Linked DNA regions of Saccharomyces cerevisiae S288C. Changing the gene in region 3 together with the main gene of any one other region gives a genetic interaction. Each region holds a gene or a part of one and is shown on either strand. Other genes may lie near its edges.

Region 1 (3,757 bases), on a different chromosome or scaffold from region 3:
GGATGAATAAACTTCAGCAGCTTCTCATTAACCAGATCTGCTATCTTAGATCTTAGAGATATCGAGTACAGATTTTGTAACGATTTGGGCAGCTTAATGCTGCCGCTGTCCGCCGAATCTGACAAGGGGAAAAGCAGCAGAGTCATTGCTAATTCTAACTCTTGCATCTTTTTGACACTTGACGAAGCCTTTATTGCAAGTTTATTTTGAGAATACTGAATTAGATTGAGTATAAAGTCGTTGGAATCCTTGGTGATGTTCTCCTGTTGATGGTGACTTCTTATCATCTCGATCAAATTCAGTAACAGCAGTTTGAAGTGTAAATCTCCATCTATGTCAAACTGCTGCTGCTGCTGCTGCTGCTGCCTGTCAGTTCTACCCGTATAACTTCCCGTAGCATTGAAAGTCTCTTCCAGCACCTCCAGCCCGAAGATAGAGTTTATCTCCTCCATCGCCTCATTGATACGCCCCAGCTTAATAAGATGTTTGATATGGAAACGCTCCTTGATCTTGTACAAATCATTGAAAACCGCAATGTCTTTGTTGTTCCGTATAAATCCCAGCTCCTTGGCCATCCTAATGCTCGAGTCTTCATATGCCATAGAAACAAAGTAGTTCAACAGAAGCCGTGGCAGTGTGGGCTCTATGGGTGTGGTCTGTATGGTAGCAAATCCCTCGTCCTGCGAGCCGCCACTGCTGTTGGGCTGAATTTTCAGCGGATAATGTATTGTCTTATTTGCATATAGCTCGCCCATGGCAGAATACTTGGCCACCTGCTCCTTCCATTCTTCCTTCGTGAAGCACTTCTTTCCATACGTAAAGTCTTTCCCACCATTCTTGCCTTGGCCGCTGCAAGATCCGCTCTTCGTGGTCTCGTTACTAAGAGTAGATATAGTCATTTCTATTTGTTACCACACACAAATATATCTTCATCCGGCTGATATTTGTCTCTACTGCCCCTTTGCTTGCAATTTAATGACCAAATTACACATGTTAGCTTCAAGAAAAATGATGTACCATCAAAATGTCTCCTGCAACGAACCGGGGCACCGCGCCGGCAGAGTCAGGAAAGCGAGATCGACACTGATAGTGATAAACAGCAACACAATGGAGCGATTACCATTCACTCGGAACGGATCCGGACAACAGTCAAATAAACTCCGGGATCCCAAAAAGGGCCGTACACACAAACCCAAGCCGAGCGAAAAACACAAAAAAAATAAAACAGGGAAAAAAGGAGCGCAAGAGAAAACGCACAGGAGTAGGAGCAGCAGAAAGGGGAACTAATATGGTTTTTCCGTTTGCTTATTTTTATTTTTTTGTTGAGTCATGGGCACGTCACCGCACAACAGCCGCCGCAGGCCTGTACCGCTACGCGTCTATCACTGCGAAACATCGCTACTTCTGTCGCCGCGTCGACGCTGGTCCAGACCACAAAAGGATGCACGATCAGAAGCACTGTACCCTGCAGAGTTGGAGATAGTGTAACCGTGACTTCATTTTTCAAGCGTGGTTTCACATTCTTTTTGCACCGCCCTTATCTCAGATATAGTTTCGTTCGGTTGCTTTGCTTTCCCCAACTGAAGGTGCTGGATGGCGGTTTTTCCGGCTGCTGCGATTTTCCCTGCGCGGGGCCCGGCGCGGAATTGTGCAAAAGCTAAAACTCAACGGTTATTTTGAAATATAAGGTTATAAGCAAATTTCCTAAATTTGCTTAATTGTTAATGCAGTTGTTATTGCATTAAGACATTCGGCTATCGTTTCCTTTCTTCGTGTCGGCAATCTTGTATAAAAGTTATTTTTTGAGTTTCAGTTTCTTGTATATCTTGGTATATATTGAAGGAGGATTTTTTCTTTCCTGGTCCTTTTACTTCCTTGCGTCCCCTCATATTTCTTCTATTTCCGTTCACGGCGTTTTTTTATTTTCTCCATCTACTTTTAGTGATTTCCTTTGCTCTAATATTGTTTTCGTTCATAGTGAATTGTTTGTTTTCACTTTAATAAAGGGCTTTTACGACTTGTCTCAAAAAATTTCATCGAGATGCAAGCCCCCAATATCTACCCCTTCTCTCAAACACAGCCACAAGCACTGCCCGGGTTCACATACGGTCCTCCACAACTTGTTTTTGACCATTCTGCTCCGAGAGTAGATCCTTTGCATTCTACTGTAACTATAAATTCTCCATTACCCTTGCAGCATTATAATGGACCGAATGCCCATATAAACAGCGCAAACAACAACTACGCATACTACTATCATCATCCCAACAATAATGATAACAACAACCATAGTAACAACACTATAAAAAATAACAACATTAATTCTGTTCTTCCCGCCGTTAATATTCAAATATCCAACAACTCACATTATAGAAATACACACCAAATTCCTTCTGCTCCTCAGCGGCTGGTCAGCATCATACCGGATCCCCACATGCCGCCCAATATTTCTCACTTTCAGCTAAATAATATTCACCCTCAAATGCATGCTCCTGTTGCTACTGATATTCATTTCCAACAAGTACCAGTTTACAATAAAACCAATAATGGCATTGGTACTGATAACATTAATAACGATAAACCCGTAAACTCGAATCAGAATGAAGTGCTGGACAATATTGATGAACGTTCCTGTCATGAAATTAACAGGGTAGTTTCATTTTCTAAACATTTTGAAAACAACGAACTTACCACTACAGCAAATGATCTAAACATTCAATCTACTATGGATGAATTAGCTAAACTGAAATCTTTATCAAATTCTACCCATTTCAGGCAGAGTATTGCTACTCAGAATTTCCATTCTTTACAAAATCATATCACAACCATCGAAAACCGTCTGGCTTCTTTACTTACTGACAGACAACAAGAGCAGCAACAGTTGAAGCAGCAAGAGTCTGAAAAGGAGAGCTCTTCACCGTTTTCCAATAAGATAAAGTTACCTTCCTTACAGGAATTAACTGACTCCATCTCCACCCAACATCTTCCAACATTCTATGACAATAAAAGGCATGCTTCGGATACCGATTTAAAGAGTAGCACCTTACATGGTCCATTATATCACCGTCACGCTTTTCTTTCAACCTCTTCTTCCTCACCCTCCCCCACGGCCGGTTCCGCGCCTCTTCAAAAGTTACAGGTTCCAAGACAAGACGATCCAAACGATAAGAAAATGAATATTTCATCATCTCCCTTCAATTCAATAACCTACATTCCAAACACTACGTTATCTCCAATGGTGCAAACGCAGTTAAAGAACTTAACCACTTCTAACCTCAACACGAAAAAGAAGAATAACAGAGGCAGACCAAGAGCTATTCAGAGACAACCCACGCTGACCACTTCCAGCCATTTCATCAATAATTCCAATCCTGGTGCTGCTGCAGTTTCAACGACAACTCCCGCCGCTAATAGCGATGAAAAGAATCCTAATGCAAAAAAAATCATCGAGTTTTGTTTCCATTGCGGGGAGACCGAGACTCCAGAATGGAGAAAGGGACCATATGGCACAAGAACTTTGTGTAATGCCTGTGGGTTATTTTATAGGAAAGTCACCAAGAAATTTGGCTCAAAAAGCAGTAATTTGTTGTTAAGATATAGAAGATCTATTGATTTAGCCAACGATCGTAGAATTCCTGATTTTATCACTATTCCAAACAGGTTTATTCATGATATGGATAATGATCAAACGTTGGACTCTGAGTATAATACGATATTGCAATAATATAAAATCATACATTCATATAATATCCATTAC
Region 2 (3,757 bases), on a different chromosome or scaffold from region 3:
CACTTCTTTTTTTTTTTATTTATGTTTTGTTTAACTGACGGTGTTTTTTTTTTTACGTTATACTGATACATATATAGACGTGATTTATTTAAATAAAAAGTTCTATGAAAAAAAAAAAAAATTAAAAAAAAAAAATTAAAAAAAAAAAATCTTTGACTATTCAATCATTGCGCTTAAGCGTATTCGTTAACATTAACGATATACTCGTAAACAAAGGCAATGGCAGATAAATGACCTGGGACATCCACGTGTTCATTAACCGAATGCAATGTCTTCAGTAAATCAATATCAATGATAGAGCCAACAAACCTATAAATGTTCTTGGACAAATTCCAGTAGTATTTAGTATCGGTGTTACCAGAGAATAAACCAGTAGTCACATAGAACTCTTCGTTGTTTTGTAGAACACCGTTTTCAAAAACATCTTGAATAGTACCTGCCAAAATGTCCCAAACAGGGCCTGAACTTGGCGAAAGTGGTGCTGGTTCCAATTCTCTCAAGAGAGTAATGTCAATGTGACCTAACTCGGTTTCAGGGATAATGTAATCGTCACCGTTCTTAGATAAACCATAGCCATACTTCTCAGCAATCTTTTTCGCATATTCTATGTTTCTTTCAAAGACTTCAGCCACAGAAGAATGTAAATTAATTCTGTGATTGATCAAGAATCTGGTAGTTTCGGGCAGAGCATTAGCTTTAACACCACCATTGATGATATCAACAGCTTGTGTTGTTCTTATTAAGCTGCGCAAATGTGATTGGTTGGAAATGTACTCAACAAGCTTGTCCTTCCTTCTAGGACAGAATGGTGCGCCCAAAATTGTCTTCTTCACATCCTTACTTAAAGATTTAGAATGTTCAGCAGCACATGTCAACAATCCATAGATTGGATTGTCAAACTCAAATTCGTAGTCAAATGGGTTGGCTTCAAATTCAGTAATCAGTTCTGAAGCGATACCGATTGTGGTATGATCAGGTGGGACAGAGGAATGACCACCATGGCCTAGAATACTGACTTCGAAGTCGACATAGCCTTTTTCAGCGTTGATTGGAGTGGCAACAAAGACATCCTTGTCGACTTCCATGATACCTTCACCCTCGTCAATGATACTGTAAATACCATCATCACCATATCTTTCGTGAAGAAATGAGGCTAAGCTGGCAGCACCGAGGGTGCCGCTTGCTTCTTCATCAAAACCAAGCGACATAACAATAGTTCTGTTGGGCTTGAATCCATCTATCAACAGTTGTTCGATAGCTTCAAACTCGGCAATTAACAAGTTCTTACAATCGTTAGAACCACGCCCCCAAACAAAATCTGTTTCTGGATCATAGTGACCAGAAAATGGAGGGAACTTCCAGGATGATAAAGTTTCGTTGTTTACAGGTACAACATCTTGATGGGCCATTAACAATAATGGTTTTAGATCAGGATCAGAACCTTCCCATGTGTATAGAAGACCCAGCTCATTGACTTTCTCCAATTTCAAATGCTTGTGAATATTAGGGAAAGTCTTCTCAAAATAGTCGTGTAGTTCATAAAAATGCTTATAGAAATCCGGATCATCTGCGGGGTTGGGGTTTTTGTCTTGGACTACAGTGGGGATTCTAACAGCATTGGACAGTTTCTCAATGGAGCTGTTTCTAAAGGCAGGGTCATGAAGAATTGTGTCGACGGAATGTTTGAATGATGGACTTAATGGTTCAATCTTCTCACATTTGGGTGAGTGCATGGGACCTTTTCCATGGTGTGGACGCTTTGCCTCATGAGGTGGTGCTGGGTGGAGACCCGAAGTGAGGAAGAAGGTGCCGATGATAATAAGGGCAACTATTCCACTAATAAAGGCTCTGTGCCTTTGCCATAGGGACTTTCTAGGGGCCTTCTCTACTGGTAAGGCGATCATAATGTAATTGTTAGATGAATGATTCCTTAATGTGATGATGCAGGATTAGTTTTACAATGGGAAGAGACGTATTTGGGGTACCCGTTTCTTTTATATGTCATAAACTTTCTTGCCCGACCTTGGAAGGCTGTATCGTATTTTGCCCAAAGGGGAAAATAAAAGGCCGCTATGATAAGATAAGGGTGGCGAGGCTGAGATAACAAGAAGATGTTCTGAGCATTGAGCATTTAGGATAACAGTGCACAAGATCACGCGGTTCAATTCGTCACGTAAAGCTACTAGAAGTGGGTGTTTCTAGTAGCCTGCAAAAAGCGTCGTTCTAAAGAAACTTTTTTCAATGACACATTTACTGAAAATAGAAAAAGACTATCTATTCGTAGCTGATTTTCAAAATCCGTATGGGAAATCAGAGGTTATGGAACTGACAACGTCGTAGGAACAAGCGATATGCAAATCCCGGTGTCGCTTTGTTTGTGTATCGCTAAAAGCTTATATGCAATACTCGCGAAGGTACTATAATCCCTTGGACTAGGTCATCCCAATTCTTTGTCTTTATCAGTAAACTCTTATCTTACCTTTGGTCTCAAACTGGTATTTTATTTGCTGAATATTAACTACCACTAGGGATTACTCGTAAAATTATGAAAAAAGTACCATATGAACTCCAATAACGGTAAGTGATCAATAGGGAACAGCAAGTCTCTTCTTCTTTGCAACGTCAAGATTGATCCTATGCTTTCATAATTTCCCTACATGATGGCAGTCATACTCCAATTAAGTGCTACAAGAAAGAGGCCTTCGCAACAACTGTGTCAACGCTTGCAAGTGCTAAATTGTACTACAGCACCAGTGGTATCTCCTATAGTCAGTTACATAGTAAAATATTCAGAGGTCCATTACATAAATATATATATATATGTAGAGGCATCCATCCATGTTTGTCGATGCAGCTGCAAGCACCCAACAAGAACAGATGACAGCCAACAGTCGTTGACTAACGTAATGGGCCACTGCTGAGAAGCATCCACCGCCCATGCCATGGTTGGAATCATGACAAGTCGCCCTATATAATGCCTTCGTTCTTTAATATTGACGCGCCAAATGTGGCAATACGCGATATTTTTTTCGTTCGTGTTTAAATAAAGAGCAATATAACACACCCTTCACCATTCTTGTAGAACATCGTCTACCAGTAACACAAGTAAAAATGGCCAGCGAAACACCAAGAGTTGACCCCACAGAAATCTCCAACGTCAATGCTCCTGTGTTTAGGATAATAGCGCAAATCAAATCACAACCCACTGAATCTCAGTTGATTTTACAATCGCCAACCATATCATCGAAAAACGGCAGCGAGGTTGAAATGATTACGTTGAACAATATTCGTGTATCTATGAATAAAACATTTGAGATCGACTCGTGGTATGAGTTTGTTTGCAGGAACAATGATGACGGCGAGCTAGGATTTTTGATTCTAGACGCTGTACTATGCAAATTCAAGGAGAACGAAGATTTAAGCTTAAACGGTGTGGTTGCTTTACAGAGACTATGTAAGAAATACCCAGAAATATACTAGCTAAAATCGCTTTTATTCTTACCTTTATGTACTGTTGCCTCTATATGTCTTCCCTTCATATAATAAATTCCATTTCTAAAAAAATTGTAGTTGTGTTTATAGATGTATAGATAGATAAATGAATGTGTACTTGCTGCCTTAACGCCTTCCGCTAAAAACTTTTTGATATTTATTTTATTTTTAACCTTTCCTGACTTCAACCCTTACTGTAATGATGATAGTAGAAGCCGTCTATTTTTCATACTTTTCTCATGTTGATTTTCCTTGCAGACAAAGA
Region 3 (3,757 bases):
GAATACGCTATGGAAAGTAATTTTGATGAAAATGATGACGAAACTGAAAAATACAACATTGAGAAACTATTGGGACCGAACGATTTAGACAATTATTCTTATATGGGCTATCCAAACTTCTTTCCCAGTAATGAAAATGGGAAAAAGAGTCAGAGCTATGACCAAGGTGAAATTAGCAGGCAGTTTGAACAAAACTTACAAATAAATGATTAATTTTAGACAATATTTTTTTTTTTTTTTTTATTATGTATATAGTTAACATGTATAAAGTAATAGCAGATTCTCTCTAAAAATATAACATAACATTTCATTTCAATTCGTACTAAATAATTTTTTATATAACAGATACATAAGATATTTATATAGAGGAAAACGAAAACAAACTAAAAATAAGCTGTTAAGAACAGATATGTTTTATGCCACCAGAGCACACAAAGCTGCGCCAACACCGGACCCATCTTTGGCTAGACGCAAATGTATCTTACGTTCACCCTCAGTGCCAATTGGACTTAATGCCAAAGCATGTCTCAGCATGGATCTGAATCCAGGATAGTATTCGATGACATAACCGTCAAAACCAATTTCTACCTCACCGTGATATCTTTTGTTCAAAGCGTTTGTCTTGATTAGGATGGCGGCAATCGGAACGGCTGCTAGATATGCAGACCTTCTCGTAATGGAACGGACCAGATTTTGAATTGCTTTACGTTCTTCAAAAGTGGTCGGTAGCCTCAAACTCTGCAAAAACGACAATTCAGTTTCACGCAAGTTTGTCGAATCATCGATTTCAATCCTGGAAAGAACTTCACTGCACAATTGGAAAGGAGTCTTTAAACGGTGAGGTAATTGATCGTAATTACGATACTGTCCCAAGATTAAGCCCCTTGCATGCAAGTCCACCAGGATGTTCCTTAACAGCTCACCCAAGTACATGCCGGAAATTCTTTTTTCAAATAGATGGTAACCTGGATTTGGAGAAAATTTTTGGTCAATATCGATGTCATACTTTGTAGCAGACAAATGTTTCAATTCATTGTCGAAAGAACCCCATTCGATGTTGATGCACATTTGGGTTTTTCCTTCATGCAGCAGTCTTGTTCTGAGCTCATCTGGTAGCTTCTTGATGTTTTCAATATCCTCCATATAGCAACCGTTAGTACCAGTACCAAAGATACAACCAATGACAGGCTCGCTAATCTCACCAGCACTCGATGGACGAGAGCCTGAAGTGTAGCAGTGGGATAGGAAAGTGCCAACCGTGTCGTTGGTCAAAGCTACCACATTAATCATAGAGAGCCCCTGAATGTCTAATTGCTCCTGGTATAACCTCACGACATCCTTGCCGACCGTGTCTTCAATCTTGAAGCTTTTGGTCCATCTGATTAAAGTACCGGAACTCAAAGAGGTTTGGTCAACGGGATATGAGAAGGTAAATCCCATTTTCAAAGGTTTTATGTTCTCCCCCGTGGACTTCAACAACTCAGGATGATGCTTCCTAACGAAGGCCCTTGTACGGCGACCCAGGTAGCTAAACAGCTCCTCGCTGGTGACATCCTTGTCATTTAGATATTCTTCCGGAATCTTAGACTTCAATTGCTGCATATCAAAGGTTCCGTCACCATTCAAAGTCACAGAACACACTCTGAAGTGAGTCCCACCTAAATCTGCAGCCAGCAAAACACCACGTTCCGTCCCATTGGGCAAACTGGTTACATATGTAGGGATCATGGGTAGACCCTTGTCCACCGTCTTTTCTTCGCCTACAGAGGTGTTATTCAACCCCTTTTCCATACATTCAATGAAGTACGCTGTTAGTTCGTCCAACTTTGCTGCATCAACCTGCAATGAGGAGCAGATCTCAACCACTGCATCTTCCAATGCCTCAGCATTGACTTTATGTAAATTTTCAAATGACATTACTGTGTATCTATGATTCGATTCTTGTACAATTCTTCCTTGATACACTGATATCTGTTTCTATTTAAACTTCCTATAAGTATGAGACGTACAAAAGAACACGAGACAAGATGAGATTTTACACTTACACAGAATCGACTTTATATAATCCCGAATACATGTTTCCCCCCCCTGCATCGCAAGCATAATAGAATTCGACGACCCGATCTTCTTCCTCTGTCTTCCACACACACAAACACTAATTCACTCTCACTCTCTCACTTTCCCTTTCGACGACACACACAAAAAGACTTTCTGGATGCCCCGCGTTTTTTGTCACTTGATTCTTCGAACAAAGACGCAGGCAACTACCCCTGAAGGGCCCACCCGAAAGTAGTTGCTACTGCTCGTTGCGGTGGCTGCCAGAGTGGCGACGTAGCGTTGCGTTGTGGCTAACATTGGTGAGACAACCCGATTAAATTACTTAATGGGCTCTCCCACCGCCTTTGCACCCAGTGACAGCCATTTTGAAGATAGCATCGGGCTGGCTTCCAAATAAAATCTAGGTCGTTTCTATTAAGTTCGTTTCGTTATTTTTCTGTCTTCGCGGCGGACACGCAAGCCGACGACGACGAGGTTTAGTTGCATTTTGGCTATCATAAAAGAAATGGGCTTGTCGCAACGGGATCAGGACCAAGAACAGGGGTGCTGAGACTACTACTGTAACTGCGACCGACACAGCGTGCGAAACTAGGGAAGTAAAAAGGTATAGGAAGAAGAACTATGTTTAGAATAGCTAAAAACCTCGTACGGACTTTTGAGCAGAGCGTGCAAGATACCCTGGCACTCTCGCAGGACTCGAGCAATCTGGACGCTTTCTTTCAGTCTATACCACCAAATTTGTTGTCTGCTCAGTTGGAATCACCCGTAGATGCGGTTTCTGAAGGTGTTAAGCACACCAACGTCAATGAAACGCTTTCCGGTCTCCGCATTGTTTGGGTGGACGAGATGCAGTTCCAACTGCAGTCCTTTTTCGACTATATAGTAGGTTTCAATGATGATCCGGTGCCGGTGGTCAGTAATCAACACGGATTTTCGTACCCAGATTACCGTCGTATCACATCCATCTTCAATGAACACTGTGGCCGAACTTTGAAGGTCAACATATGGTCAGCTAAAGGAGGCACGTTCAGAGACGAGTATATCAGCATTATATCGAAGGAGAGCGACGATTTGGACGATGTTTCTCTAAACCATGACGAGAGGAGGCCATCTAGTGGGGAAGCGCACCAGTTCCAAGCACTCGGGTTCAAAGTCCAATGGACGCCTTTGATAGCTTCCACTTTCACATACCATATCCTGAACGTGAACATCCCAGATGGACCCGCCCAATCGGCAGGGCTCATCCCAGATGAAGACTACATTATCGGCTGCCAAGATGGCCTGTTGGCCACGGGAGGGGAGACGCTTTTACAAGATATTGTTAGATCAAGAGCAAACTACGATCTGGTCCTTTATGTCTACAACAAAGTTTCTGACTGTGTGAGACCAATCACAGTTCATATAGGTCCCGACGGCAGGTTGGGTTGCAACGTTGGATACGGGTTTCTTCACAGGATTCCAACAGTAAAGCACTGTCCACAACAAGCACAGCAGCAGGGGCAAGATGACAACCCTGTTCCTGTTCCTGTTCCAGTAGAATCTGAGACGGCTTTTGTGCCATCAGCATTCACAGCACCACCGGTGCCAACAAAGAAGAAATCAAAAAATAAAAAGGGTACCCAGCCATTGGCAATGGATGACTATTTTAATGAAGGCAGAGATAAGTCATCTACCGCTGCGAAGTCAGCAGAATCTGACA

What was found.
Region 1: mutations in EMI2 (region 3) and GAT2 together harm fitness more than expected from each alone (negative genetic interaction), as found in Saccharomyces cerevisiae (one large-scale study listed by BioGRID).
Region 2: mutations in EMI2 (region 3) and CPS1 together harm fitness more than expected from each alone (negative genetic interaction), as found in Saccharomyces cerevisiae (one large-scale study listed by BioGRID).

The regions. Positions count from the first base shown.
Region 1 is NC_001145.3:539,158-542,914, forward strand, and holds GAT2 (Gat2p), read left to right. Parts: upstream 1-2,041; coding exon 2,042-3,724; downstream 3,725-3,757. Other genes in the region: glucose-induced degradation complex subunit GID8, read right to left, coding at 1-899.
Region 2 is NC_001142.9:95,884-99,640, reverse strand, and holds CPS1 (Gly-Xaa carboxypeptidase), read right to left. Parts: upstream 1,905-3,757; coding exon 174-1,904; downstream 1-173. Other genes in the region: RFA3 (Rfa3p), read left to right, coding at 3,112-3,480; KRE9 (Kre9p), read right to left, coding at 3,719-3,757. UniProt on the Saccharomyces cerevisiae protein: Necessary for use of certain peptides as sole nitrogen source. May also cleave intracellularly generated peptides to recycle amino acids for protein synthesis.
Region 3 is NC_001136.10:1,474,560-1,478,316, forward strand, and holds EMI2 (putative glucokinase), read right to left. Parts: upstream 1,918-3,757; coding exon 415-1,917; downstream 1-414. Other genes in the region: SLF1 (Slf1p), read left to right, coding at 1-213; GRH1 (Grh1p), read left to right, coding at 2,680-3,757. UniProt on the Saccharomyces cerevisiae protein: Putative glucokinase involved in phosphorylation of aldohexoses and glucose uptake. Involved in sporulation. Required for the full activation of the early meiotic inducer IME1.